Linked DNA regions of Drosophila melanogaster. The protein of the gene in region 2 interacts with the protein of the main gene of each other region in a pairwise test. Each region holds a gene or a part of one and is shown on either strand. Other genes may lie near its edges.

What was found.
Region 1: the proteins of Keap1 (region 2) and Ctr9 interact in a two-hybrid assay, tested with the Drosophila melanogaster proteins (one large-scale study listed by BioGRID).
Region 3: the proteins of Keap1 (region 2) and pug interact in a two-hybrid assay, tested with the Drosophila melanogaster proteins (one large-scale study listed by BioGRID).
Region 4: the proteins of Keap1 (region 2) and Mcm3 interact in a two-hybrid assay, tested with the Drosophila melanogaster proteins (one large-scale study listed by BioGRID).

The regions. Positions count from the first base shown.
Region 1 is NT_037436.4:1,305,033-1,313,296, reverse strand, and holds Ctr9 (Ctr9), read right to left. Parts: upstream 6,009-8,264; 5' UTR 5,928-6,008; exon of another isoform or gene 5,879-5,927; intron 5,750-5,878; exon of another isoform or gene 5,672-5,749; 5' UTR 5,598-5,671; coding exon 5,556-5,597; intron 5,494-5,555; coding exon 5,395-5,493; intron 5,334-5,394; coding exon 4,398-5,333; intron 4,341-4,397; coding exon 3,504-4,340; intron 3,441-3,503; coding exon 2,983-3,440; intron 2,670-2,982; coding exon 1,589-2,669; 3' UTR 1,492-1,588; downstream 1-1,491. Other genes in the region: sturkopf, read left to right, coding at 385-577, 637-1,367; Nt5a (5' nucleotidase A), read left to right, coding at 6,009-7,613.
Region 2 is NT_033777.3:17,073,129-17,080,900, forward strand, and holds Keap1 (Keap1), read right to left. Parts: upstream 4,975-7,772; 5' UTR 4,778-4,974; coding exon 4,690-4,777; intron 3,766-4,689; coding exon 3,449-3,765; intron 3,375-3,448; coding exon 3,117-3,374; intron 3,058-3,116; coding exon 2,375-3,057; intron 2,259-2,374; coding exon 2,053-2,258; intron 1,989-2,052; coding exon 1,210-1,988; 3' UTR 814-1,209; downstream 1-813. Other genes in the region: mRpS11 (mitochondrial ribosomal protein S11), read left to right, coding at 1-55, 110-210, 374-439, 500-607.
Region 3 is NT_033777.3:10,694,302-10,702,986, forward strand, and holds the start of pug (pugilist), read left to right. Parts: upstream 1-2,232; 5' UTR 2,233-2,430; coding exon 2,431-2,501; intron 2,502-2,853; exon of another isoform or gene 2,854-2,905; coding exon of another isoform or gene 2,906-2,967; intron 2,968-3,324; coding exon of another isoform or gene 3,325-3,568; exon of another isoform or gene 3,569-3,572; coding exon of another isoform or gene 3,573-4,643; exon of another isoform or gene 4,644-4,675; intron 4,676-5,355; exon of another isoform or gene 5,356-5,449; coding exon 5,450-5,521; intron 5,522-5,583; coding exon 5,584-5,794; intron 5,795-5,917; coding exon 5,918-6,389; intron 6,390-6,700; coding exon 6,701-8,538; intron 8,539-8,604; coding exon 8,605-8,685. Other genes in the region: Skel (skeletor), read left to right, coding at 1-1,745; CG46459 (uncharacterized protein), read left to right, coding at 2,431-2,501, 3,325-3,568; CG14683 (uncharacterized protein), read left to right, coding at 3,573-4,643.
Region 4 is NC_004354.4:5,321,553-5,327,856, reverse strand, and holds Mcm3 (minichromosome maintenance 3), read right to left. Parts: upstream 4,003-6,304; 5' UTR 3,861-4,002; coding exon 2,502-3,860; intron 2,439-2,501; coding exon 2,205-2,438; intron 2,131-2,204; coding exon 1,264-2,130; 3' UTR 1,119-1,263; downstream 1-1,118. Other genes in the region: CG3309 (uncharacterized protein), read left to right, coding at 1-551; Rnp4F (RNA-binding protein 4F), read left to right, coding at 5,450-5,467, 5,530-6,038, 6,120-6,295. UniProt on the Drosophila melanogaster protein: Acts as a component of the Mcm2-7 complex (Mcm complex) (Mcm complex) which is the putative replicative helicase essential for 'once per cell cycle' DNA replication initiation and elongation in eukaryotic cells.

The DNA.
Region 1 (8,264 bases), on a different chromosome or scaffold from region 2:
ATTATCTACACTTTTTCTCTGTCTGAGCAATCGTTATCATGGTAAGTATCCGCTAATATAGAACATCTGATTTTGGCATAGCTTGCCGCCCTGGTTTCTGTATCAGCCGTTTTTAAGCCGCTGAACTTGTGACCTTTGTCCATTCTTGCTGGAAACAATTGGCCGAAACACATAGCAGTGTTTATCAGAGCTATCAACCCTGGGGATAAACCGCGCCAATCCTCAAGATTTGAAACTCGTGAAAGGCTGCAGCCGAGGTGGTTGGACAAAGGAAAACCGGTTGCCACGGGGATTAGACAACTCATCGCGTGTGAAAAGAGTGGGATCAACACAGGTGCCGATTGATTTTCAGCGCAGTTTGCCACGCCAACAGCAGCGGAAAATATGCAGGAGGCCTACGTCAACATCAACTCCATTCCCACCCACATATTCACATGGGGCAGGTGGATTGAGGAGACCATAACCGAGAAGGAGATCGTCATCTGCATAACTGGCAATCCCGGTTTGCCAGGTTTCTACACAGAGTTCGCAGGCACTTTGCAAAAGGAGTTGGGCGATCTTCCAGTTTGGGTGATAGGTGAGTGTGCTGGCGTTTCCACATTGAGTCGGTAATAGCACACTTGATGTTCCCTCCAGGGCACGCTGGCCATGATGATCCGCCAGAGGCCAGTATTCGGGAGGTTCCTCAACTCAGCGGCAACGAGGAGCTCTTCAATTTGGACGGACAAATCCGGCATAAAATCGCCTTCATCGAGAAATACGTGCCAAGTGATGTCAAGATCCACTTGATTGGGCACTCCATCGGAGCGTGGATGATCCTGCAGCTGCTGGAAAACGAGCGGATACGGAGTCGCATCCAAAAGTGCTATATGCTGTTCCCCACCGTCGAGCGGATGATGGAGTCGCCCAATGGATGGGTGTTCACCAAGGTGGCCATGCCCCTGTACTCCGTGTTTGGCTACATTTTCTTCAGCTTCTTCAACTTTCTGCCCGTGTGGTTGCGCCTGATGCTGATACAGATCTACTTCTTGATTTTCTCCATTCCACGACAGTTTCTGGGCACCGCCCTAAAGTACTCCAAACCATCGGTAGCGGAGAAGGTGGTCTTCCTGGCCGACGATGAGATGGCCAGGGTTCGCGGGATTCAAAGGGAGATTGTAGAGCAGAACCTGGACCTCCTCAAGTTTTACTACGGCACTACCGACGGATGGGTACCAATCTCCTACTATGACCAGCTCAAAAAAGACTACCCCAAGGTGGACGCCCAGCTGGACACCAAGAAGATCGACCACGCTTTCGTCCTGCGCCACTCGCAGCCTATGGCTGTAATCGTAAGAGACATGATCCAGCAGCACAGACGTGTTTGAAGTCGATTGTTGACCTGGCCCAGACAATCAGCCCTGTCCATTACCTAATCCATCCATGCCAATAGACTTGGGAATCCGGATTACGGTTGAACAGCAAACCAATAGCAATTACTCCACTGCCTTTGTGTGGCAATTAGTTCGTTTTTATTAGTATCTTTTTGCAGCTCTCGAAGACAACTCTAAATATAGTCAAAAGTGATTTAACACGGTTGAGAGGTGCGTTATTTTTCCGGGGACCCTGATCTGCTACGGGATTCGGACTTGGATCGGCTGCCAGAGCGAGAGCGGGATCTTGAACCCGACGGCGAGCGGGATCTCGAGCGGGAACCGGACTTTGAGCGCGATCTCGAACGGGATCCCGACTTGGAGCGAGACCTCGATCGAGATCCGGACTTGGATCGAGATCTTGAACGGGAACTCGACTTGGAGCGAGCACGGGACCCAGATCTATCCGATTCCCCGCCAGATTCGATGCGATTCCTGGCGCGCTTCCGCTTAGTTGCTTCATCACTGTCACTCCCAGATCCAGATCCACTTCTGCTCCTGCTGCGCTTGCGGCTAGCCTCGCGATCACTGCCGCTTCTAGAGGCACTGCCACTTCGGCTACCACTGCGATTTCGACTCCTGCTTCTACTTCTGCTCTTGCTGCGCTTGCCGTCAGACTCGGATTCGCTGGTGGAGATCGTCTCCTTGGAAAGCACCTTGAGGCGCTGCTTGGCAGAAAGCTTCTCCTTGGACTCTTTAACCGGCTTCGGCTTCTTGCCCTTCTTCTTTCCCGACTTGCCACTGGCACCTGGCTCTTCCTCGCTGTCGCTCTCGTACTTCTCCGTTTTGCGCTTGCGACCGCCACCCTTTTTGCGTTCCCCCTTGCCCTTCTTCTTCGAGGGACGTTCTCCCTCACGACGAGCTCCATCGTTATCGCTTTCGGTACCGGAGATGTAGTCATCTTTACGACCTCGCCCACCACCCTTCTTGCGTTCCTTTTCAGGTGGAGCGTCCGCAATGATGAGCATGTTCTTGGTCTTCTCCACGTACTCCTGCCGCTTGGCTAACAACTGGTCCCTGGAGGTCTTTGCCTCCTCCTCGCGCCGCTTGCGCTGCTCCGCCACCTTAATTTTGAAGGCCTCGCGCTCCTCTTCCTGCTTCCGGCGCAACGAGCGCTCCTCCTCGTCAATGCGACGTGCACGGCCCACATGGTACTGGGCCTGAGAGAGAAGATCTTGGCAGGTGCTTGCCTCAATGCCAGCCACCTCAATGTTGAAGCGATTCTTATCCCCGTGCACGGACAGATATTGGAAGTATCTATAAGAGATTGGGGTGGGATATTGTGAGTGAGATTTTAAGCACGAAACAAAACATATTCATAGAAATAGTTATTGACCATGATCAAGGAAATCATCAGCTAATCTAATCCAATCTTCGGTTTAGCAGTTCATGATGATTGCTTTGCATTAATATCTAATCTGATCTGATAAGCTAAAATGCCATTAATGGTTACTCATTTCTGCTGTACTTCTAAATATAATCAAATTCACGTTATCACTTGGTTGGTACTCTAATAACCACTTGAAAATATTTGATAGGCGCAGTTTAAGAGAGCAAGGATACCACTTACTTTTGAGCCAGCTCCAGTTCATGGACAGCTTGCAGCACAATTTCCAGAGTAGATTTCTCATCCTTGAGTATGGCCATGGCCAAACGTGAGAGGACCACTGCTATGTTGAAGAGTAGAACTGTGTCCTGGGGAGCAACTCGACGGGCCTTAAGTAGCACTGCCTTGGCATCGACCAGCTTGTTGGCTCGTAGATACGCTCTTGCCAGATATTGCATTACCTCGACGTTGTTGTGCTTGTAGAACTTCTTCATGCAGTTCTCATACATCTGAATAGCGCTGATGTACTGCTTCTGTTCGACATAAACGTGCGCAATGTTCAGCCACACGTCGCAAAAGTCGGCGGTGGCTTCGCGCACCTGGGCGAAGATATCGCGCGCCTCGATCACGCATCCCTTATGTGCCAGCACGGCACCGATTCCATTGGTGGCCCAAATATTTCGGGGATCATTGCGAAGAACCTGGAAAGCGGATGCATTTCGTTACAAATTGAGCTATAATTGGTCTATTTTAATCTGTCCCACTTGTTTGAATATGGCCAAAGCCTTCTCCTGGTGCTTCCTCTCCTTCTCCTTATCTCTACTCGGCTGATGCAGTGTTTGCAACGAAAAGTTTCCCAGAGCAATCAGTGAGTAGGCGTCGGTGGAAGTAGACGGATTCTTGAGGATCGTTTCGAAATTCTTCTGTCCCAAAGCGAATTGCATCTTGGCCAAATGGAGATTTCCCAGCAGTGATCTCGCATCTGGATTGTCGTTGTTGATGTTCAGCGCGTCCTTGAAGAAATCGGAAGCCACGAAAATGAGACCCTTGTCCCTTGCCATGCAACCCAGCCGTAAGTAGCAGTCAATATAGTTGGGATGCTCCTTGAGGATCTCCTTGTACAGCTTGTCGGCCACATCGTAGCTACTCATTGCCTCGTTCAGACGGGCCAGATTGTACTTCATGGTGACCTGAATGGACTCGTAGTATTTTACATCCTTGTCCATCTCAGAGGTTGCATGCTTCAGGGCCGACTCCAAAGTGAGCTTTGCCATCTTCAAGTTGCCCAGGCGGTAGTGCAGTGAAGCCACGTTGTTTTGAATCTCAGCGGGTATCTCGTACTTGGCCTTGTCCCGAAGAATACTAGAGGCTGTGCCGTAAGCACTGAGCGAGGCCTGCAGGTCGTTCTGCTCCAGGATTTGAGCCAGTTCTATCCAGGCTTCAATGTCTTCAGGAAATTGTTCGGTGACCTTCTTGAGGTGAGTCTTGGCCATGTCACGTTTGGTTTGCGAATTGGAGTGTGCGTACAGGGATCCCAGAATCTTCATGGTCTCGTAGTTGCCTGGCTGGATTTTCAGCACTTTCTCGAAACACTGAGCGGCCTGAAAGTATTCACAAAGTGGTAATAAGGAGGTTCAATTACAGGTGTCCCAACTCACATTTTCTGTATCTCCTCGATAAATATACATCTGGCCTAGTCCGTAATGGGGCAGCACGAAGTTAGCTGGCGCAATCTGAGTGGATTGGTAATAGTACTGAAAGGCCTGATCGTAGTCGCTCTGGGCATGGAAACTCCTGGCCAGCTGGTAACAGCTCTCGGCTCGCATCGCCTCGTTCTCGGTGTTGTGGAAGGCGTGCAGCGCCAGGTGGTGGACTTTCTGATAGTCCTTCTTAAAGAAGAAGTGATTGGCCAGGTGATTGAGCACCATGGGATTGGCATTGTCGATGGTGTACGCCTTGGAGAGCATCTGGACACCCAGTTTGTTGGATTCGGGCTCAAGTTGATTCAGCTTGAGAACGGCCAGGCCAATCAAAGCGCCCACACACTGCTGATCCAGCTGGAGCGCTCGTTCAAAGGCTAGCTTGGCCTTCTCGGGATTGCCCATCTTCAGGAAGCAATGGGCCATGCCGATTCTCACATTCGCAGGACAGTTTGGATTTGTACGCAAGGCCTTCTTGTAGAAGGCCATCGCTCCACGGTAATCTTTGCGATTGAACGCGATGCAGGCCTTTCCCAGTAGGGAGGGAATATTCGAGGGGGACTGGTTAAGCACAAAGTTGAACTGGGCATCCGCCTGGTCCATCTTGTCGCCCTCCAGCAGACAGAAGTAGGCCCTGCCCAACAGATGGCTCTGGTCGTACATGATAATCTTGTCGGCACTGGTGTACAAGTTGGTGGCCTTCATGAAGAGCTCTCGTTTCTTGTCCTTGGACTTCTCCCGATACGCCTCCTGGACATAGTGGGCAGCGAGCATGTCCAGGGCACGCATGAGGTCCTTGTCCGAGTCGCGGTACTCCTTGGTGGCGTCATCGCTGCGCGACTCCTCCAGCAGCGTGACAAAGTCCTCCGTCTTCTTTTGTTTGTAGTAGGCAAGCTGGAAAAAAAGTAGCCATGTGGAACATGCTAAATTCATTGTACCCAGTCTTTCAACTTACCGCCACATTGACCCAAACGTGCAGGGGCGCCCGCTCCTGCTTGAGAATGCTCAACACCTCTGGACAGTCGGGCAGTTGATCCGGGTCCACCTCGATCACCTAAGTTGGGGAAATAGAAGTATTAATCACTTAAAACTAGAATCTTTCGGATCGATTCTCACCTCATCGGTGTCCTGCAAAGGGATCTCTATGCAGTTGGACATGGTTTCGGAGGCCTTGAGCCCACAAACTAAGCGGTGAAAAACGGGTTACTGGCCCGAAAACTTATAAAAATGTGCTGAAATCGGAGAATGTGCAAAAAACTATATTTTTTCCATTCCGGTACGCTTGCTAGGGATGGCACAAGAGTCGATTGCGCCAACGATACCTAAGCTGCTATCGAGTTCCGATAGCTTACACTTGCTTATACCTAGCTAAATCTAGCTAGGAATAAGCCAAGGAAGTAAGTCAGTACTGCTCAACTTCAAAAGGTTGGCAGCTCTGGCAGTTGTAGACATACATTTATAGATGAAAAATGATTTTGTGAGGACTACCTAAGTGATAGTGAATTTCGGCTTAATTTTAAATTTAGATCACGCTTCGGACAAATGAGATGTGCTAGTTGATAAGATAAGATGCTGGCGCTGGGCAGAGCAGCCACCGTGGGCGCCTTTTCCGCCCCTGCCCTTTCACTTCGACTGGCCACGAAAACGAAAACGAAAACAAAAACAAACGTACACAAACAGGCCCAAACAGATGTTCGTCTCCTGTTACGCAATCTCGATAAATTGGCGCAAAATTCAATGACGTTAGTCAGAACACCGCCGGCAGCAGTGGGAAGAGCAACACGAGAAGTGACGGGTCAGCAGCAGACAGTTAGGCGCTTCCACAAATCTGCAGGGGGAAACTCAAGGTATTCGGCCAGCACCATCATGACATCCTATCACAAGGAGCTGCTCCTAAAGGATTATGGAATAGTGGGCTTCGACCTGGACGGCACCCTTCTGCGCTACAATCTCCACGAGATGTCCGCTCTGATCTATCAGGTGCTCAAGCAGTTCCTCGTAGAGCAGAAGGGCTATGACAGGGATCTACTCCTTCAATCGCTCAACTTGGACTTTCTGCAGAAGGGCCTGTTCCTGGACGGACCGCGTGGCAATGTGCTGAAGCTGAGCAGTGAGGCCCAGATCCTGCGAGCCACCCATGGCACCCGTCTACTAAGCGACACAGAAATTCAAGCCATCTATGGAAGAGATCGAAGGTGGGAAATCACCACTGCCTTCTACAGGGACCCCCTGTCCACCTGGAATGGCGACGCCTCGACGCAAATGCGCTCGCTATTGGATTACTTTGATATGCCCAGTGCCTTGGTCTTTGCCCAGGCGGTGGATCTGGTCGATAGGGGAAAGAAGCCATCGGCAGGAGAGGAGTATCAGGTCTGGCAAGATGTTCAGGCTGGCCTGATGAACATCTACAGTCGGGAGAACTTCGCCAACGACCAGAGTCTCTATTTCAAGAGCATGCGAGCGGAACCGGAACGATTTGTGCTCCGAACAGATCCCAGTGTGATGAACTGGCTCGGGGAACTGCGAAAATCCGGCAAGAAGCTATTTTTGCTCACCGGCTCCAACGTGGACTTCGCCAATTTGACGGCCACGCAGGCGCTGGGCAAGGATTGGCGCAAATACTTCGATTTCGTGGTAACATACGCCAAGAAACCAGGGTTCTTTACCATGCAGCGTCCGTTCATGCAGGTGGATGTGGAAAAACTGGCAGAACTGCCGCAAGAGGCAGACAACATAAAGGCGGGCGAGGTCTACTCGCAAGGCAACTGGCACCAGCTGCACACTGCCATGGCTGGAATGCTCCAGAAGAAGCCCTCTGAAGCCAAGGCACTATACTTCGGTGATAACATAATCCAGGATGTTTACACACCGGTGAAACACCGCGACTTCGATGCCGTGGCCATAGCCGAGGAGCTGCTCCTTGAGGATGGTAAATATCCGTATGCTGCCGAATTGGACTCCCAGCTGTGGGGACCATACTTTGCCCTGGACTGCACACCAACTCTGTGGTCCAGCTTCATCAGCAGCTATGCCCAGTTGTGCGTGCCCACGGTGGAGCAAGTGGCGCAGACTGCGCCAGATAAGCGAATCGTTTGCCACAATCCGTATGGCTTCAGTCCGCGGCTGCCCAAGGAGCTGGAGACTGTGCAGCTGAAGAGCTGCTGGCGTGGATAGGCGCCTTGCTATCATCTTCCTAGAGACAATAACCGACCTGCGATTCCGAGGCGCGGTAAATCCGATAAGGCTTCTATCAGTGGAAGCCTCTTTAAATTCTTACGTACAAACAATTGTATTTGATAATAGCAATAAAAACGCGAGATTCTGAATTATTCAATTTAGCCTCTACAGTGTACGCCATAGCAATAAGATTTTCCACACTAGACTTACAACTAGTTTAGTTCCCCTTAACAAATTCATGTCAGCAATAGCTAGTACTTTTGTAATATGTTTACTGTATTATATTTTGGGCTCTCCCCTTTGCGAAATGCGAGATTCGTGGTCTTATTCCAAAGGCCACAACTATGCCCGATATTATTGTTATTGGCACAATAAATAACTAACTTCCACGATAAGAAATTACGAAGAGTGTTTATAAATCGCCAGTAGTGTCTCTGTAAATACTATATTTATTTTTTCGATCTTTGGGCAGTGGGACCTTCGATGACCGCGATGCTTATGCTGAAGATCTAAACAAGTTACCTGTTACTGGTACTGGAAAAGTACTCGGAGAGCTCGGAGTCTACATATGAAATGATACATGTGACAATGAGCGGAAAAGAGGGTGTCTTGTTCTCAAGCAATGCTATTTAACTCAAGCGTTAGCTC
Region 2 (7,772 bases):
TGCAACATTCGCGTTTCACCCAACAACACAATTATTTCCGTCACGGATCACAAAGGTGGGTCATCTGGAACGTTACTCTAACTGTGATCTAAAGTATCCCTCTTTCCAGGAGTCCTCCGGCTGATACGATCCTGTGGAATTGAGGGATTCAAAAACACTCGCAAGGGAACCAACATAGCAGCTCAAGCTACAGCGGTTACCATTAGTGGAGTAAGTCATTTCCACAAGAAACAGGTTTTACCAAAGTAGGATGGTCAAAAACTACATAGAACATCGAGATAATCTCCATTATAGTTGTATACCATATATGCATTTGAATAGTATAATATGGGCATAGAATCATTTAAAACAAAAAACTTAAATTGTATTTCAGAAAGCCATTGAATTGGGCTGGAAGACAGTGCGAGTAAAGGTTCGTGGTCTTGGCCCTGGAAGAATGGTATGTTCAATACTTTTTGTCTCTCATGTCACTTAAAAATAATTAAATGTTTTGATTCAGTCGGCCATCAAAGGACTGCAAATGGGTGGGCTGAACATCGTTTCCATTACCGACAACACACATGTTTCCTTCAATCCTCCAAGACCCCGAAAGCAGAGAAGTCTTTAATGTGCAACTTGTTAAGACAACTTGTTTAAAAGCAAAATACACAAATAGTCGTTTACAAACAAATACGAAAACAACAGTTTATCTTTCTAATGGAATAAATAGCACTGTCACGGTGAGTTTTATTAGGAAGATATTTGAATATGGCCTTTTTGTTGCCACGGCCAAAGGTTTGCACAAGATTAATAGCAAAAAGATTAAATAACTTTGTAAAATATGTTTGTTTTATTTTTCTTAAATTATTTGCTTTCTTTTCTTAAAACCTATTTTGGATGCGCATAATTCCTCTTCTTATCCTACGTTAAAAAAAGTACAATACGCAATCTATCAGTTTGGATACCTACAAAATACGTAAAATACGAACTTTCCTCCCACTAATCAACTATTAACCCTAATCAATCTTTTTAAAATGGGCTGACGAGCGCCAGTTATGTTATGGATGCCATAAAAACGGTTTGACTAATTATCACCTAGCGAACACACTAGTAAGTAATATTACAATGGAATGCTGCTTCTCAACATGGAATTCTAGGGGATACGATCAGGCTTTGTACAATGAATGATGTTTTTGGTTGAGGCTAAGCGTGAGGCTCGGATTCGTATTGTCATGTGGCTGCGCTCGTGAGTTTTCGCAGGCGACCTTCGATGTGATGGTGAAAAACTTTCGCTGCTGTGCTAAATAAACATTCTTTTTGTGCTTTTTTTAATTTATGCCGCATATCATTAGCATTTCTCTCATCATCTGTGAAAGACGCTGGTGGAGTTCTTCGAAATCTTTCCTGCATTCTGGACCAAGGACAGTTTGGATTGACTAGCTCCTCGGATCTAATGGCGGGAATTTGAAAACTATGGTGTTCTGCAGGAATATATGGTTTTATATCCATTTCCGAGTCACAATTGTTGCAGCCGCTCATTCCGTATGAAGTATGAAACTGCATATTGGACGCCGTCCCAGGATAATGTGGACTCCCACTGCCGTACGTGTTTTGTGGTGTATGAGCATTCCTTTCCCCGTTGTTACTTCCATCCGGGTGTGGGGCGTCACTATCTTCGTAGTCCATAAACGTGGTGGAACACGCCGGCTGATAAATAACCGCCGACGCATGACCCGATCTTCCCGATTTTAGTGGTGTTCCTGTTGTCCACGTATTTGTTCGTGGATCGTAGACCTCGACTATGGACAGAAAGTTGTTGCCATCGAATCCACCAATGGCGTACAGTTTTTCGTCCAGCGGAGTCAGCGAGAGAGCACTGCGTGCGATTTGAATTGGCGCAACCATGTCCCAGGTATCGTTTTCGGTATCATAACGCTCCACGGTGGCTAGTTGACGGGTGCCATCGAAGCCACCAACAACGTAGATGTACTGGTTAATTGCAGCAACACCTGATAGCAATTAAATCGGAACTTAGTTGGAAATTAGATAACAGGATGCGCCAGTCATTCTTACCCGCTCCACTGCGACCCGTTTGTAGTGGTGGCAAAAAACTCCACTCATTGTTCTCCGGATGGTAGCACTCCACGCTGGCCAAGCGCTCGTTTCCATCGAAACCTCCGATGGCATAAAGCAGACGGTTGACCACCACAACACCCACTCCCAAGCGCTTGGCATGCATCGGCTGTACAAGAGTCCAGCGATCCAAATCGGGGTCATAGCTGCAAGAGATTTAAATAAATAGGGTTTGCTAAACTATGTCGATAGAATAAACAACCAGAAAGGCTTTGTCAAATTAATTAAACTATTATCTATTGAAATGATGAACACTACTTACTATTCCACCGTGTTGTGGTACTCCATGCCGGCGGACCCGCCTACGGCGTACATCAGCTCGTCCATCACGGCCACGCCCACTCGATGGCGTGGCACGGACATGGGAGCGCACGGACGCCATGTTTCGGTGACTGCACTATAGCGATCCACCCAATCCGAGTCGTAGGAAGATCCAATGTTGTTATTTCTGCCTCCAACCGCATAGAACTTGCCCTTGAGAAAGGCGGCACCCAAACCAGATCTTGGAATGCGTAGATTTGCCAGTGTCGTCCACGTCATGTCGTCTACATTGTAGGCCTCCAGAATGTCCAGTGAGTGACGAAAAAAGCCACCGGCGACAAATATCATCCTTGTGGTGTTGGGGGTTCGTTCCTTGACTCCTGGACACTTGTGCAGCGTTAAGTCCTTAAAGATCTTGGCCAAATACTCCCGACAGGCGGGCACCTTTCGCAGAACATCGCAGTTTTTCATCTGCTCCTTGAGGAAGTTGGGCGTAAGGAACTGACAACGGACAGCGCCCAAAATGTGCTCCATTTTACAGTGTCGATTGTCCTCGTCGTATTTCACCCACTTTAGCACAGCGTTGTAAACCTCTCGCTCCTCCTGCACATTCAGTTCATCCCTTCGTATCAGGGCAATCAACTGATATGCCGAAAGCTGCAGGAATTCCTCCTCTTGGCACACCTTAGGGGAACTCAGTAGCTATAGTTTTGTGTACTCTTTTCATATCGTAAATAGGTTACCTGAGTGAAATTTCGCTCAATAAACACATTGGCCTTCTTTTGCAGCTCAACACAGCCGTGTTGCTCAGCAAAGTGGGCGATGCCAATGGCATTCGTGGGATCCAATTGGCGCTCCAGAAAGGCACAGCAGGCATCGATTACGTTTGGCACTTGGAACATGGTGGCCGCGGGCAGGAGTTGGCACACCGTTACCTCGGTCACACGTATTTGGCCGGTGTACATGAAGTAGAGGATGCGTGACATGGCCGTGGGACACACCTGTAACACCGAAACGGACGAACTGTTCATCCATTAAACCAACCAATTAAGGGCCGCGCTTGAGCTCAACTTACCCCTTGGAGCTGGACGCGCGACATCTCCGACTCCTTGAGTCCCCCCGTGAACATGGCCTTGAAGTAGGGCGATGCCGCCGACAGCACCACTTTGTGGGCGGGAAAGAGCTCCTTCTTCACCTCGAGTACCACGTCCGTGAGCATGCCGTGCGAACGCATCATGTACATCATCTTCAGGGCCTCCTTGGCGTAATTGGACATGCAGAAGGTCATGTCATCATCCGTAGCATCGTGATCATCTAGGGTCGAGTGCGCCGATCCGAATCGACCACCGCATGAGATGGAACAACTTTCCGAAGTGTTGCTCATCTCAGCCTCTGGAAAATCGAGGAATAGATCATATTGTAATTCCAGGACATATTTCAGAAAATATTCAATTAATTTTAATTATTTAACAATTAATTTAATAATAATTAATAATTATATTAAATAGTAATTAATTATTATTAATTATTATTAATCTTAAAACCAATACACGCCCTACAGTTGAGCCCTGTAACCCTTGTACCTCGTACCTCATCCATCGCAAATAGATCGACAATCAGCGCGGGCTATTTATTCTATTTTATTATCTAATCTGTTATGAATTTGCAAAAAAATTAAAAATGGCACTTTAAAGAAATCCTCCAAGTGTGAAATGACGTACTATATTATGGATATCCAAGATAACCGAAAGGTTAGATACGACCGACCTTTAATACGTTCTAGAAATTAAAGCGGTCATTTATTTTGTTTTTGAATGCGAATAAGTTGGTAAGTTTATGAGTTGGTAATTTGGTAAATTGGGCTTAAAGATTTATAAGCTCTCGATTAGAAAACTAAGATAAGATTAAGGTAAATTATCTGTTTATTTCAAGAACACTCTTTCGAATGGATACTACATTGCCAACCGGAATTTGCATTGTCAACACAAACCAGTTTCTTTCGCGATAATATTTCAAATGTCTCTAATTATTCAAACGTCCAAATCGAGCAATGCAACCTGGATAAGTGCCGTTTCACTCCATTAATTTTTATCATCTCACATTCAACTACAAGTGACTTCACTGTAGCACAATCTGGAATCGTTTTCGCCAATCATTGTGGGCTGTTTCAGAGAACTTGATTCGCAATGCGCACCGTCATGATCAGTGGTTTCTTTTTTTTTTACCAAAAGCACGCGTAGCGAAAATATCTGGCAAACTTGTTGCGAATTGAACTGTAGACCCAAGGTCAAATCCAGAACTTTAAAAAAAACCAACCTTCTGGGCGGCAGGGGTATCCCTTGTGGTTGGGCATGTCGGAGATGTGGGTCTCATATTGCATGGGCGAGTGCATTTGGGTTTGCATTTTGGCACTAATCTCGGATCGATAGGGATCCTTCACAGCTTCGTTAGTTCGGTAGAGATAGTTTCAATAATCAATAGTTTCGCAAACAAAGACTGAAAGTCCGTGTGAAAATGAAAGCGCGCGATCAGCTGCTTCTCCGCAAATCCGCTCCGGCGATCATGCGTGTGCCGTGGAGAGAGCCCGTCAACTGACTGCCGTGGTCTGCGTCTGCCCAGCCACAGAGCCCACCGAGACTTATCTCTCGCGGGGATGGTGGCGGAGTGGGGGGAGCGTTTCAAAGAGCGTTATCATGCTTACATATGTGTGTGTGTGCACACATGTGCCTGAGTTCTATGTGGCCCTTCCAGGTGAATACACTCCGTGTTGTGGCGATAAAAACTATATAATGCCATGAATGAAACGCACGGCCCGTGGGCGGTTTTTTGGACCGTAACGATGATGCTCACAAATCGTAACCGATGGCAAACATAATTGTTTACCATGTTTACCAGCAACAGGTTTTTGTATGGAGCCTCAGGCTACACAGCGTTTGCAAAAAAATTACGCGTGTCATGCAAGCAGTTAGGAATTTCGTTTTGTTCAAAAGATAGCTAAAATGTGTTCAAAGTCCGTGCCAAATGAACTATTGAATACAATCAAAACAAAAAGCTAAGCTAATTTCGTATGCGCATATCGTGGAATATGTTTAAAAGAGATTACGTCTCTCTATTTTTTATTGCATAGTATTTTAGTCATGATCGGAGTTCTGTCTTAAGGGAATTTCACAACATAAATGGCCATATACACAATATTGTACGGTATATCCGATTAATCATTGTTACCAAGCTCAATTGAAAAGGCAATAAATTTTGAAGTATCAAGTCATGTTCCCAAAACAATTTCAATTTATGAACGCCTTATACACATGACGATAGAAATATTAATATCACTGATACACACTTAAAAAAATTTTTCGCATTAAATGAAGTAACTACAATAATGAAATATTTTTTTTTTTCATTTAATAATATTAAGACACAAAACCCTTTCAAAGATTATCCTTTAATTTTATTATTTATTCTAGAGAAATGTTTACAAAACGTTTAAAATTTATCGTATGTTTTTCTTATCTGAATCACCAAATTAAAACCACTACATATGTACTACACAAATATTTTTGTTTAATCAGATAAGGGCAAAAGGGACTTCCCCCGCCAAAAATCCCATATAAGTATTATGGCGAATCAAACGTACTTTGGAAAATCCACGCCCTTTAATAACATTAGTTCATCAAAGTGCGGCTTTAAATTTCCGCATAAAGTGACGCTGAGTTGGTTGTTGGTAAATGAATGATAAAGGCAAAAACTGGACGAAATAGTGCCGAATCATGCTGAAGAGGCAAAACCTTACACACTGTCACAGTGGTACGTCGGTGTAGGTGAAAACAGCAGCGTAATCAGCACGGATGTTGGGGATGTGTGTTTGTGTGTTTGCAGGTACCGTTGAACTTTGCTTTCACATAAACAAATATTACTCACTTACATTGCTCTCCCTGGGGCGACAGCTGTCACCCTTGCACACACGTACGTACTGTACATACTATTTACATACATACACACACCCGCACTTCCAACGCCATGTGCCAAACAGCTGATAAAGGCCATTGAAACTGAACTCGAAAGAAGGCCACTTAAAACAAACCACTTTGTTGTAAGAGATTACCGCAATGCAGGACAAACATTTACACTTTATCACCAGGGATTTCAAGATCTCACAGATACTTCATATATTTATGTATATAACCACGTAAATCGGCTGGGAAAATACACCGTTAATTTCTCCCTTTGTTTCATTGAGGTTTTCACATGCAGATAAATGTACGATCGTAGACAAATAAAAGGTTTCCCAGCTGGAAACTAAACTATGCGAGGGTCATGCACTTTTTATGCCTTTTTTGCACTTTGTATGTTTTATTTACTGCTACTCACATCTGTATTTATTTATTTTGCCACTACACAACGATTTTTTCTACTCTTCTTCTTAAGGTAAACATGCAAGTGCTGGAAAACGCTCGACACTGAAAGCATGTAATGACAGGAGTTGCCAGATGTCCAACCAGCTGGTGGATATTTATAAAATAAATGGTATACATGATATTAAACCACATTTACAAACAATTTTAATTATTACAACTTTAAAGTTGGTTGTACTGTTTCACTATTCTGATAATTTTTTTTTTTTTTTTTTTACATATAGATGTAGAAATTCCAAGACGTGAACCATCGTGACTTATCGAAAGCAAAACGATGATCGGCAGCACGTGGTATTTCTCCGCGTGGTAGCTAAGGTCCCACTAGCGCGTTGGTTATAATTTGTTTGTATCGGCGTCGGTTGAATTGAAATCAGTTAATTTGTCGCAAAGTAATTTCTGTATAAGTATTAGCTGTGCTGCTAGAACTAGAACGCTACAAGGTGGGTGTGCTTATGTTTATATTGATTTACAAAAAGCTAAAATACTGCTGGTTTCGATGGGCACTGTCTGCGCATCCTTTTTGTTGCGGTAGGATAGTATAGCATACATACATAAATTTGTGCGCGTACAAAGGAATAATTCAAATGTTCAAAATGTGCGCAAAATATGAAGCAGCAGGCGTTAGAAACATCAGTTTTATTGCCCTGCAAAAGGGCTTTATTGCACCCCTCGCCCAAGAGCTCACATTTTTTTTCCTTTCTCCAAACAAATTATCGCCAATTGCGGCTGTCGCGCCGCCATTTTAAAAAACGAACGCGGTATCAGCCTCCTACAATTGCATGGTACAGTGGTGGCAAAGCATAGTGGACCAGGTCAAAAAACCTGGGATGTCGAAATATCAAACTATAGTTTATTTTTGTTTTCAATTATAAGTAGCTTGGAGAAGCATATCTAAATATATAGTACATACAATATTATCTACTGCAGCGTTACATCCTTGAATATCGTTTTCTGTATACAAATAAATAAGAGATTCAATAACAC
Region 3 (8,685 bases), 6.4 Mb from region 2:
CCCACCCGCATGTCCATTTGCATCACCACAATCTAACCGCTAATCTTCCAGCGCTCGCACAGAAAACCATTGGACTCTCTGAGTTTCTACGTCCGCCGCAGAACGCTCCGCTCTTTCATCCGGTTAAACTGCCCGGCCGCCGACCTTTCCCTGCTCCGATCAAGAAGGTTCCGGCCTCAAGGCCCATACTTCCGCAGCAGCATCCGCATTTGCATCCGCATCCGCAGCAGCATCCCGTTCTTCTGCAGCAACAACCCTCCCTGATTGTAAGTCACTACAGGAAGCCGATACCGGGATTGCTGAAACCCTTCGTCAAGGAGAAACCTTTTCCACTGCAACCGCTGGCGGCATCTGTTTTACTCCTGGGTCAGCCCACTGAGCTAGGCGGCCTCAATAACAAGGGAGAACGACTCAAGATAAAGGGTAAACCAAAAATTCCAGTACCATATGTGGACCTAGAACCACAGGGGTCTCTGCAAAATACAGCTATCTTTAATCAACCAGGCGGAAAGGGAAAGGGGGACCAGAAACCCAAAGCCTCATCTGTGTCCATCTCAACCACGCCCATTCCGCTGGTGAAACGTCCTACAGTAAAGGAACCTTCCCAGGAGGAAATCGCCAGTATGCGTCCTGCCGTTAATCAGGGCTTCAAGCCCGACACCGTGATTGTTGAGAGCGGATTTAAACCCATCGTTAGGACCGATGGCACTGGTGTTCAATTGCCCAAGGAGATCATCGATCAGGTGGCCCATCGACGAGAGGATCCTGGGACAGAAATCGATGAGGTGATGGAAACAGATACCCTGTTCCTGGCAGCCCAGCAGGGAGGCAGTGAAACGCAGAGCTTTGAGCCCATGTTTATACCATCGCCCTTGGACAGTACTAATGCCACAAAAGTGTTGAGGGTTAACGTGAAGGAGGTTAGTCCCACGGCATCAGCTTTAAGATTGCCGTCGGCAGCCCTGGAGCACGCCCTGCCCTCCGCTTCGGAGTTAATAAAGCCCACCCTGGACGAACTCTTTGCAGAGGATCTAAACGAAGAGGAGCTAGAAATGGAGCCTATGCCGGTGGCAGATGATGTGGAGTCACTGGAAGAGACAACCAAAAAAGATGCTGTAACCACAACAATAAACATTCCAAGAAACACGACCAAGAAACCGGATCCCGATCTGCTGGAGGATCTCTTTGGGCCCGATGAAGAAGAGTTATATGCGGATGAGCTGGAACTAGACATGGATGACCGAGTGGCCGCTGCTGCGGAACGGATAGACACCTACTACCTGCCGCCGGATAACCGAAAGATTCCCGATACCAGGGTGCCGAGTGGAGCCCTCTACACCTTTGATGGCAAGTCTGTGGTGGACAGTAGCCTAGTGCTGCCGCCCAAATTGGATGCCCCGGACAATGCCAACGTCCACCAGCGACATGCCCAGTACGGATTGACCCCCTTGGAGCAGCTGGTCCGTACCACACCTCAGTTTGGAGTCTACAGAGGAGAGCTGCCACAGGAATTCCGAGGCACAGAGCCCCAACCCGTCTCCGAGTATTCCCATCCAGCGCCCTTCAGTCGTACCACTCCTGTGTTCTCCAGCAGCAGTGGCAGCACCATCTATCCGTATTCCTCGTCGACAGGAGCATCTACATCCACCGTATCATCATCGGCCTCATCGCCATTGTCCTCATCATCGCTGAGACCCATTTCCACTAAGCTACAGCTTCTGAAGCCGGAGGGCCGAAGAGCGTAGGATCTGCAATAGCGAAATTATAAGCAAGAACTAGCATTTAACCGTTTTGGGGTGTACGACTCTCATAACCACGTTACATTTACTCGTAAACCTGTATTAGCCCGTAGTTTTTTTTTAACACTTATGATGCTCTTAATTTTAAACGAACGCATGAATTTTATTAGCTAAGCTAACCGATTCTGATTAAGCCGCATTTTAGTCGTTGTGAAATAAAACCAAGAAGTAATCTGATTTGTGTTTGATTTCCGGTTCAACCGGAAATAAAGATATGTTTGATTTAAATACAAGTAAGGTCAGAGGAAATTGGTTATTCTTTTTAAGTAACTGTCATTTTAAACGTAGTACTCTTAGTACTTAGTTTTTACTTTCTTAACACTGACAATCATAAGTCGTTCGATATAATACCACACAACGCACTTGTATCGATAGCTATCACAATGTCAAAAATTCAAGCTTATCGATAAATAAAATATTAAGTTCTGAAACATAGATTTAAAAAGTAGAGTTTGGAAAGAAAAGCTGGCAAATAGCTGACCAATATTTCGCTACAGCGTTTCATACCAAATGGGAACACACCCTTGTTAATAGTATCGAATAACTATCGACTGCTGTTCCACCTCCAGCAAAAACGTGTGTTTTTGTTGCGCTGCTATTTGTTTAATTTAATTTTTAAGTTGAAACAATTATGTCGGCGCAATATCAAAGATTCCTGAAAGTACTAGAAAAGTGGCCAGCGGAGAAATCAAAAGTCGGCAGGTAAGAATAAGCATCAAAACACCCTGGTATCAAGAATGTTCGTTCTGGCGGCGCAACAACTTTGGATTATCTAACAAATAATTATTGAACGGATTTAATATTATTTGTATTAAATAGTTAGTTTTGCACACATTGATTTGTGAATTGCTTATTAGATCACTTTGGCAAGTGGAATATATTATGGGAATTTACTTAAGAACTATTTCACCTGCCGGCCCGCCAAGATTTTTAGGTTCCACGCCAACTGACCGTGTGGATTGTGGGTTTCATTTAGCCGATTCTGAGCGGCTGTGGATCGCCAATCTTAGTTACTTGTTTTACTTGGCTTAAAAGGCTTACATTGCCTTACCAGTTTTCAGAACATACAGACATCAAATTATCTTAAATTGTGTAGTGGCAAAAAAATGGCCTCTAAATTCGCATATCAGTTGGAGCCGGAGAAATTTATTTTGAGCCATGGACTTAAGTAAGTTTGGAAATATCTTCTTAAGCTTCGTTATAAAAACTTTGACTATTATAAATTTCACTGTACAAAGGTTAAATAAAGCGTGCTGATAATAATATTTGGATAATAATTGAGGAAGAAGAAAACATGTTCTATTAATTTCTTTAACGTCTGTTACTTTTATGGCCACATTTGTTAGCCTTTTGTCGGTTTCCAATTACACAAAGTGGTTTTCCACCTCAAACGCCCACTTCCGCGGAAAGTGATTAAATCTTCTTCTCAGCTGCCCCGCATGGAACGAACATCCGCCACAGAAAATACACACATGTACACTCATTTAGTGGGAACTAAACTTTTTCGCCTTTTCTCAAACAAAAGGGATCTCGGCGAGCAGATTCGCAAACAGGTGACCAAGCTTACAAGTCTAGAGGGCGGAGCGACGGATAAGGAGCTGGACCGTCAGATCAATTCTCTGGAGAGGCTATCCAATAACGTCTACGCAAAGAAGTATCCGCGCACTTTCGAGTCCACGGCCACTGGACTAACCGCCGCCCAGTGCAGCCAAGTGTTGAGCTCCGAGTTCCTGCAATATTTGAACGAGGACTCAAAAAAAAAGAAGTAGCACGATGAAGCGACTCCTAAACCCTACTAGACTGAGACTGGATTGGTTGAGACGAAGCTCTATAGATGTGACGACTGCTCCCCATGTTCCTGTGCTCTGCGACACCGCCATTGAATACCTGCAGCCCGTTCCAGGAGGCACCTACTTCGACATGACTTTCGGAGCTGGTGGCCACACGCGGCGTCTTCTGGAGAAGTGTCCCGAGGCAAAGGTATACGCCCTAGATCGAGATCCATTGGCCCACCAACTGGCCCGCGATATGAGCGAATCCGAAGAGTTCAAGGGTAGGCTGATTCCCCTGCTTGGAAAATTCTCCGATTTACCAAAGCTTTTCAAAGAACATGGCCTGGCCAAGAACTCGGTGGACGGGATGCTTTTTGATTTTGGTTGCAGTTCCATGCAATTCGATGAGGCGGTCAGAGGCTTCTCCATCTCGAGGGACGGTCCACTGGACATGCGAATGGATGGTGGCCACAGCGGAGGGGTTACAGCTGCCGATGTGTTGGCTAATGTTGAAGAGGGCGACCTTGTGAAGATTTTAAGGATGTATGGTGAAGAGAAAGCAGCCAAGAAGATAGCCAGAGGACTGGTAGACGCGCGCAACGCCCTCTTTAAAATCGAGACCACCAAGCAGCTGGCAGATATAATTGAAAACATCATGGATGGCGGGACCAGGAAGGATAAGCTTCGACGACCGGCACACTCAGCCACCAAGACCTTCCAAGCCATCCGCATATTTGTGAACAACGAACTAAACGAGATCAACTACGGTATGGTTTTGGCCAACGAAATCCTCCGTGTGGATGGACGCTTGGTGACCATTACCTTCCACTCGCTGGAGGACACTATCGTGAAGCGTCACATCAACGGAAACGTCCTGGCAGGCGCCGCCAATGCTCTTCCCCTCAAGTACTCCAGCCATTATGCAATAGACGAGCCAGATATACTAGAATCACTGACCAAGAAGAGCTGGAAACAACTACATCGCCATGTCATTGTGCCAGACGCCGACGAGGTGGCGAGGAACACACGCAGTCGATCCGCCAAGCTGAGAGCAGCCGTCAAAACAAACTAAACGCATGTCAATAAATTCCCTCGGTCTAGTTCAAAATTCTCTTTCTCAGTCTTTAATTCTCCCAAACTCTCGTCATGGTATGCATGTTTGGACTGTTTTGGTTATCTGCCAAACCAATTGGCACCTGCTGATAACGACTGGTTTATCTATTTACCACAGTTATTTGCGGTTCTCGTGCAGAGTTTTTGTTTAGTTGGATTAGGAAATTGTTGTTAATTGCCCAGGTAGAATAGTAGTTTAGTACAGTGGTACCGATTCTCCTTTTCTTTTGATTGAATATTTTTCAGAACATAATATAAATAGGGATAGAAAATCATTGGTTAGTGATGCTTTCCACAGTGCACGTATTTGATGAACTCGTTGAACTTTCGAGTACCTCTTCAAGTGGTTGATAACGGAGGCGGGCGAATTTGATATGGAAATTGCGTATGCCAGCAATTTCTCGGTTAAAGCCATCGTATAAGCTTACCATTCGCACTTCTGCGGTTGTTTTGCTCCCAGAGATTGGAGCATGTTGTGGTACTTAGGTGCCTTGGCATACGTCAGCCGGTGTTGTTCCCGGCTACCAATCGCAAGATGTGACCCGCGAGAAACCCGAAACCGATAATCTCGAAGGCGTCTGATAAGGGAGCGGGATTACAAAAAATAGAGAGAGGCACCGGGCGGAGCACCTATGTGGGCTATAGATAGGGGTGTCCGTTGAGTGCTCAGCTCAGTTGCATAGCGCGAGCCGAGTTGGCGTGGCTAGTGAGGCGGTACTTTCGGTCATCTGGACTAAAAAACTTTACGGGCTTGCGTTTTTTCAGCGGAGAGTGGACAGCAGAGCCGGCTATCAAGATGAGTGGGGCCAAGATCATATCGGGCACGGCGGTGGCCAAGTAAGTGGGCAAAACTCTTGCATCGTAGGATTCCTATTTATCATATCCCCGCCTCCCGTTAGATCCATTCGCGAAGAGCTGCGTAACGAGGTGACGGCTATGAGCAAGCAATTGGCGGATTTTGTGCCCGGCTTAAGGATTGTCCAGGTTGGTGGACGTGAGGACTCCAACGTTTACATCCGCATGAAGATCAAGGCGGCTACGGAGATCGGTATCGATGCCGCCCACGTCCAGCTGCCCCGATCCATCACCGAGGTGGAATTGCTCGATAAGGTGAGTTTGCGACGGAAGCGGATTATGCAATATGGGCAATACAATGTTATATCAACTGAAAAACGAAATATTCTCTACTTGAATAAAGTTATAAATAATAACTAATCGACTTTACCATTTCAGATAAACGATCTGAACGAGGACCCCCGGGTGCACGGCATCATAGTGCAAATGCCCCTGGATTGTGACACACCCATCGATTCGCACCGAATTACGGACGCCGTTTCCCCGGAGAAGGATGTTGACGGCTTGCACACGGTTAACGAAGGTCGCCTGGCCATCGGTGACCTTGGTGGTTTCCTGCCCTGCACTCCTTGGGGTTGCCTGGAGTTAATTCGCCGTTCTGGAGTAGAGATCGCCGGAGCCAGGGCTGTGGTTCTGGGACGCAGCAAGATCGTGGGCACTCCCGCCGCCGAACTGCTCAAGTGGGCCAATGCCACGGTCACAGTGTGCCACTCAAAGACCCGCAACCTGGAGGAGATCACCCGAAGTGCAGACATTCTGGTGGTCGGAATTGGAGTGGCCGAGATGGTTAAGGGATCGTGGATAAAGCCCGGAGCAGTGGTCATCGATTGCGGCATCAATGTGAAGCCAGGTGAGTGATGGTAATCCCTTATCAGTTCAGTTGACTGGCAACCCCAGTGGAAATCCAATAGATAATTTAAAGACTTGCTTTAACAAATTCCCTAATCTGTGGAAACATACGTTTCCACTTGTTTACTGATTACGCCGTCAATCGCTTATCAACGCATTCGACCCCCTAGTGGAACTCCTAACCCCGACGATAAGAAATGATTTTGTTTTCAAACATCATGCTCTCGAGAATTAGTTAGGGAACAGCTCCCGATCGGGGCGAACCGATCCCAATCACGATTCCACCAAATTCCAATTTTTGATCCTTTCCAGACGCCAGCAAGGCCAGTGGCAGCAAGCTGGTCGGGGACGTGGACTACGCGGAAGCTCTCCAAGTGGCAGGACATTTGACGCCAGTGCCCGGCGGCGTGGGACCCATGACGGTGGCCATGCTTATGAAAAACACCGTGCGATCTGCGGCCCGATTCCTTGAGCGTCTTGCTAAGAGCCAGTGGGCCCTTCAAACGCTGCCCCTCAAGCCCCAGCGTCCCGTGCCCAGCGATATTGTGATTGCCCGTGCCCAAAAACCGAAGGACATTGCCGTGCTGGCCAAGGAGATTGGTCTGGAAGCTCGTGAGGTTTCCTTGTACGGAAATAAGAAGGCCAAGATTTCACTGTCAGTGTTGGAGCGTCTGAAGGACAAGGAGGTGGGTCACTATGTGGTTGTAGCCGGTATGACACCAACGCCTTTGGGTGAGGGTAAGACCACCACACTAATGGGCTTGGTCCAGGCTCTCGGCGCGCACAAGCTGAGAAACACCATGGCTGCTCTGCGACAGCCCTCCCAAGGTCCAACCTTTGGCATCAAAGGAGGAGCTGCTGGCGGCGGATACGCCCAGGTGATTCCCATGGAGGAGTTCAATCTCCATCTGACAGGAGACATTCATGCGGTATCGGCAGCCAATAACTTGCTGGCCGCCCAGCTGGACACCCGCATCTTCCACGAGAATACCCAAAAGGACAAGGCCTTGTATGACAGATTGGTGCCCGCGATCAAGGGTCAGCGGAAATTCAGCCCCATTCAGCTACGCCGGCTCCAGAAATTGGGAATCACCAAAACCGATCCCGATACCCTTACCGCTGACGAATACGGACCTTTTGCCCGGCTGGACATCGATCCGGACACGATTATGTGGGAGCGTGTGGTGGACATCAACGATCGGTACCTACGCACCATTACCGTTGGGCAATCGCCCACTGAAAAGGGTATTTCGAGGGAGACCCGGTTCTCCATCTCGGTGGCCAGCGAGATCATGGCTGTGCTAGCACTATCCCGAAGTCTGGAGGACATGAAGCAGCGGCTGGCTGACATGGTGGTGGCATTCGACAAACGAGGCAAGCCCGTAACCGCTGACGATTTGGGTGTCACCGGTGCCCTGGCAGTTCTTTTGAAGGACGCTCTCGAGCCGAACCTGATGCAGTCGCTCGAGGGAACTCCAGTGCTGGTGCACGCTGGTCCCTTTGCCAACATCGCCCACGGTTGCAACTCGATCATCGCTGATGAAGTCGGCCTAAAGCTGGTTGGTAAAAATGGATTTGTCTGCACGGAGGCCGGGTTCGGATCAGATATTGGCATGGAAAAGTTTTGCAACATTAAGTGTCGGACATCCGGTCGCAAGCCGAACGCCATGGTGCTGGTAGCCACTGTGAGGGCCATCAAGATGCACGGCGGCGGAGCTCCCGTCACTCCCGGAGCCCCCTTGAACAAGCAGTACACCGAGGAGAACTTGGAGCTCGTCCAGAAGGGTCTGCCCAATCTGCTGCAGCACATCGAGAACGGAAAGGCCTTCGGCATGCCAGTGGTGGTGAGCCTTAATGCTCATTCAGCAGACACCCCGGCGGAGCATGAGTTGGTCAAAAAGGCTGCTCTGGAGGCAGGTGCATTCGCCGCCGTAGTCTCCACTCACTGGGCGGACGGAGGAGCCGGAGCCGTTCAGCTGGCCGATGCCGTGATCAAGGCCTGCGAACAGGGCAATCAATTCCGATTGCTCTACGATCTGGAGCTGCCGCTGGTGGATAAGATGAACAAGATCGCTACGACGATGTACGGCGCTGGAAAGGTGGTGCTCTCGCCGGCGGCTGAGGAGAAGGTCAAACGCCTGACGGATGCGGTAAGTCGAGAACATTTTCTTCGAGAAACTGAAAGTATTTATAGAAATGCATTGTTCAATTCGCAGGGTTTTGGCAATCTACCTATCTGCATGTCCAAAGTCTCCGGCTCCTTCACCGGCGATGCCAAAATCAAAGGCGCCCCCAAG
Region 4 (6,304 bases), on a different chromosome or scaffold from region 2:
CCAAGCGGCCGGAGCATGTGCAAACCGCACTGATACGACGCCATCTGCTCGAGCTGACGCAAAGCTTTATGATACCACTGGAACGGTATATGGCATCACTGATGCCGCTGCAAAAGGACATCAGTCCGTTTAAGTCGGCGCCGAATGCCAACAGCTTTAAGCTGGATGACTTTCTGGGCACGCTGGAAACCGCTGGGCCGCAGCTAACGTCGCCGCTGAAGGGCGACTGGAAGGGCCTGTACAGACGCTTCTTTCGATCGCCCAATTTTCGCGGCTGGTACGGTGCACGTCATCGGGAGCTGCAGCTAACGCTGCAGGATCTACAGCTGCAGGCGCTATCCGTGGCGAATCTCGAGCACTGGGCGCACGACAAGCAGGAGGTGGAGATCATCGATATGATACTCAAGCTCAAGCAAAAACTGAATCTCTATGGCGACAAAGCCACGCAGCTGGAGGGCAACAATGGCTCAACTCAGCAGCAGATACGCGCCCAGATTGAGTGCATGAAGGGCTTGCTGCCGCCGGATCTCAAGAATGTGGTGAATCTTTGATGGTAGTAGCTCAATCCTCGTCCTCCTCCTTCTCTTCTGCCACTTATCACTTTGGCTGCTCCACATCTGTCTGCTAGTATCCTGTGATTGTGTGATTGTGCCTGGCGGTGCTCTTTATCAGTGTAAATAGATTTTAATCGGCGATTAGTCGCCGTATTTGTGTCTAGTTTAATTCTAAAGTGAATCCAAGCGAAGCGATGAATGTTGTTAGTTCAAACTACAAGTCAAGTATTAAATGTAATCGATGTGTCCCTTCCATATTTTCACATCCATGCGAAAACAATGCTCATGTCTCAAAATGTCGAAAACCATGCCAATAATATCTATGTGGCTGCAGCTTGAAACCACTAACCACAACATTGCAGTCCCTTCCTCTCCAGCTTTTTACTGATTGTGAATGGGAGTTGTGAAGCCAGTTGGTTATACCTTCAGTTTGTTTCTTTTAAAACCGTTGTGCAACTTTGTGTGTATATCGCTTAAATTGTTTATGTCAAATATAAGTTAACTATAATACATTAGCCAACAGCTGCAGCCTTTCCTTATGCCAACGTACATATTCCGTGGATTGCAATGGGAGTTCCAAAGTGTTTATTTTTTTTTTTATATAAATACAAAACAAAAATGACAACTTAAGCGCTAGAATGGTTGATGGATAAAGGATGGATTGATGGATGCAATCGTTCGTTCGATTGTTGCTCCTTGGAATGCGCGATCAGATGAGAAAGACTATATCGTCGGCGACCATGATCTGATTGTCCTCGGTCATGCGATGCACGGCGGCCTCGATTTCGCCAGCGGTGAACGGCTCCTGGCTGCCAACGTTGATGGCCGTGGTGATCCTGGCCAGCGCCAAGCTCTGTTCGCGTGCCTCGCGAAACAGTCGCTGCAAATTGTTCTTGAACTCGCCCAGGCGGGCATCGCTAATGATGGCCGGCTCCGTGGTCGATGTGGCCACCGACTGCTCCTCACTGGAGGGGCTGGCCATCAGCATGGCGACCGAGCGAGCGGGCAGAGAACGACGCGTTTCGCGACGCGTCAAATCGCCAGCATCCGGCTGTGGTGGCTCAATATCCTCCTCATCGCTATCGGCACCGACGGTCGCTGTGCGTGTGCGTTTGGAGCGTCGCGATGGTGAGCGCTGGCTAGATGCCTCACCGTTGTCATCCTCCGCATCGGAGCCGCTGTTGCGACGACGCTTGCTGGGGCGATCCTTATCCAGCACCTTCTTAAAGTAGGCAAACTGTACCAGTTCGATGGCCGCATGGGCATCGTCGATGGTCACCGATTTGGACATGCGTGCCCGGGCATGGGCCGTGGACAAACGGATGAGGGTCTCCAGGGTACGGGCCGTTATTGGCTGCGTGCGTGCCACATCCGTTTCGACCGCCTCCTGGGAGCGCAGGCGCGAATACTCATTGGCAATCGCCTCGCAGGCCTGCTCGCCCAATTTGGGCTTCATACACTTGGCAATGTGTATGTACTTGCGCATGAACTCCACGGATAGGATCTTCTCGTGACGCTGACGCGACTTGCCATGCAGCAGGGCATCGTACTTTTCGTACACCTCGGTGTCCTTCTTCTGTAAAATACAATTTCAAGACCATGTCAATCGATTATACACAATCATAATCGTGCCTTTCGACGAAAACCCACCTCCTCGCTGCTGGAAACAAAGGACAAGGAGTCCGCATAGGAGCTGCCCATGGACAAGGGCTCGCCGTCGGCCTCCTTGGGATTGCGATAGCGATGCATGCGCACCACATGGTCCGAAATCATTTGATCCACATCGCTGTCAATCACGTCCAGCATAACGAAGAGCAAATCGAAACGCGAAAGCAGCGAATCCTGCAGTCCAATATTTTCCATCGGCGTCTTATATTGATCATACTGGAATTGAAGACGAAATTAGCAAGAAAAGCGATGAACAGACGGATTCGGATGGACTCTTACCCTTCCGTACACCGGATTAGCGGCTGCCAAAACGGAGCAGCGAGCATTGAGCGAGGCATGGATGCCCGCTTTGGAAATGGTAACACGACCCTGTTCCATCACCTCGTGAATGGCTGTGCGATCGATGTCGCTCATCTTGTCAAACTCATCAATGCAGACGACACCGCGATCGGCCAGGACCATGGCGCCCGCCTCCAATCGCCGCTCACCGGTCTCCTGATCCGTGGTAACCGCCGCCGTCAGACCGACGCCGCTGGATCCGCGACCCGTTGTCGGTATGGCCCTTGGTGCCGTATTCAAGACGTAGCGCAGTAGCTGCGACTTGGCCACCGAAGGATCGCCGATAAGCAAGACATTAATATCGCCACGCAGGCGTGTGCCATTCGGCAGGATCTTCTCAACGCCGCCGAGCAGCAGGCAAAGAATGGCCTGCTTCACATAGGCATGTCCATGAATCGAGGGCGCCAAACTCTTGCTGAGCAGCTCGAAGATGTCGTTATTCTTCGCTAGCTTCTTGCACAGCATGATGTCTTCGCGCGATATGTCCAAATTGCTCTCCTTGCTGAGCAGCGATATATTGTTGGCCAGCAGCACGGTGCGGAACGTGCCCGAGGTGTAGCCACCGCGTTTGCCCGGCAAACAGCGATAGCTGCCCACAATCTGTACACGATCGCCGGGCTTGCAGCGATCCACGAGATCGTCGTCGCACACAATATCCACCGAACGCGGCAATTGGCCAGCCGGCGCCTTCTCGGGCATCTCTTGAATGGTCAGCGTCTGGTGATCCTTGTAAACGGACAAACCGTATTCGGTCTCCAGCAGATTGCCATCCTCGTCCTTTGTGGGATAGGCAGCGCCAGATGGCACAGCCTCGAACGATGTGAGATCGGTGTATTTGCGCTCCATTACCTTACGCGTATTGGGGCAATAGTGAACGCTGCGCACCACCTTGGGACGAATCAGCGATACCTTGGTAACAATGCCCTCCACGCACACCATGTTGCCCAGATAGATGGAGGTGAGGGAGCGCGGCGTCACATGCCGATTGCCAAAGCAGCCCTCGAAGCCGACAAACAGATCCTCATGCATTTTGGCATAGCCCGGATCAACCGTGGACGCATACTCCTTGAGCGCCCTGCCAAAGGCCAGCTGCTCATCCGCCGCGTTGCTCAGTAGCCCCAATGCACGTTGCGGATTCTTGCGTTTTAGATCGTTGACATTCACGATCAGGCGCTTGCTCTTCTCCGCGATCATATCCTTGACGTGGCCCGCATAGATGCCCTGATCCTCCTCGTCGTCCAGAAAGTCCACATACTCGCGTTGTATGTCCTTGATGAACTGCTCCCCCTCGTGGGCCATTCTGTGACTTAAGCTGTACACTGGAGTTCACAAAACTTCTTTCGATTTCGCTTATGGATCAACTTCGATCCGTTCGGAGGCAAACGCAAATGCAAACAAAACTAATGTCGCAAATTGCACGCCGAATGCAAAGTTTTTTCGCGGGAAAAGCGTAGTGTGACCATACTGTGGGCATTTGAAGACTGGTTGCGCGGGCAAAATATATATGCTATAATTATTTCCTTTTTTTATATATTTACATATAATTATTAACTTTATTATATAAAACATAGTGGACATAGCAAACTAACTAATATAAGCAAATATACGTTGATATGCAAATTTATAATTAAAACGTTTCCACCGAACATCTGACTTAATTTGTAATGCATACAATATAGAAAACTATCAAATAATTCCTATAATAGTAGTATATATTTATTATCTGCCTAATTAATATCTACATTTAATCCATTGCTATAATAGTAAAATATATTTATTATTTGCTAAATTACTGTCCACACTTAATACATTCCTATAATATATACAATATATGTATTATGTGCCTAATTACTGTTTAAACTTAATCCATTCTTATAATAGTATTATATATTTATTATTTGCTTAATTATTATATAATATATAATATTATTACACTTAAACCATTCTTATAATAGTATAATATTTGTATTTATTATTTGCCTAATTATTATTATATTATTATTACTATATCCTATAATATATACAATATATGTATTATATGACTTATTACTGTTTACACCTAATCAATTCCTATTATAGTATTATAGTATATAGTAATATATTTATTATTTGCTTAATTACTGTCCACACTTAATCCATTCATATAATGGTATAATATTTTTATTATTTGCCTGAGTACTGTCTACACTTAATCCATTTATGATGTGGCTGCGTATTAAATAGTTTATTATTATTAAATAGTTTGTGTAAAAGAAACAGAAATTGTTTACATTTTATGATACATATATATATAGCACTTAAGTAAAATAAATTCCATTTTTATTTATTTCTATAAAATATATATATGTTTAAAATAAATTATATTTCTTGGTAGGATTTAGTTTATCATTTGACTTTGCTATACATTTCTGACCGCCCAAAGAAACCAGTTAATATTGACCACATATTACCGAAATTAGTCTTCAAATTGCTCATCACGAGTCTTCACTGCACTGCTGGTAACACAGCCATTGTCTGGACTGCCGCAACTATCGAGTGCGCACAGCTATCGATATTACGCACTGGTCACACTGTTATAACGAAAAAAAAATTCGCATATTATTCACACTTTACCGGTGTTTCTTGACAGAAAATGATAAGTTTTCGTTAACCGAATTCTCAGAAAGTAAGTGCTTGGAAAGTTTTTCCAAGAAAAAGTGCCCAATAGGGAAACCAAACCTGAAACCAAATAATTTTCCACGATAAGCGCAACAACGCGATATTAGATTGGCCAGCCCTGCGTTTGCGGTTTTTTTTTTGTTTTTTTATTTCCTGTATTTTTTTTGGGGGGGAAAAATTGCAGTTCCACGGAAAGCGAAAAGTTTTCCACCAAAATAAACGGTTGAAGCATGGACGCCGACAAGCAGGTGAGTGTCAGATTATAGCTCCAATAGGCGCCGCCCTTATGCGTATGCCCAATATATTGCAGCTGGAAAGGCAGCTGGAGAAGGAGCTGGACGAGATGCCGGCAGAGGATTTGGACGACGATGCGTATGACGAGTATGATCTGATCGTGATACCCGATCAGGGCAAGGGCTCGCCGCAGCAGGGGCACAGTGAGTCGCCGCAGCAGGAGGAGGAGCACAAGTCGGAGGAGCTGCGCCAACGATCGCGCCCAACCTGGCCACCGTCGTCCGCCGGCGGGGATATGACCACCATTGAGTTGATCTCATCGGACGACGAGCCGTCAGTGGAGGAGACTGAGGGAGGCAATGCCGCTGGCCGTGGCAGAGCGCGCAATGATTCCAGCAGCAGTAGCGATGATGTGGGCGTGATCGAAGGCTCGGAATTGGAATCGAACAGTGAGGTGTCCAGTGACAGTGACAGTGATAGCGACAACGCTGGCGGCGGAAATCAGCTAGAGCGCTCGTATCAGGAGCTGAATGCGTTGCCCAGCAAAAAGTTTGCCCAAATGGTCTCGCTCATTGGAATCGCATTGTGAGTTTGCCTGCTTCTCCCACTCCCATTTTCCATTTTTTCAATATCGGCATTAGCTAATGTTGATGCTCGTTAATGCAGCAAACTGAATGATCTGGAAAAGATCGAGTCATCGGTGCTGGAGCTGCAAAATTTGGCCACTGTGCCGGCTCACGTGTGGCTGAAGTATCTAAAGGCCCGCCTGGTCGTCACCCAAACGGACGAGGAGCGCAAGGCATTCGAGGAGCAGTGTGCCAAAGCGTTGGGCTACTACTACAGTATGCGAT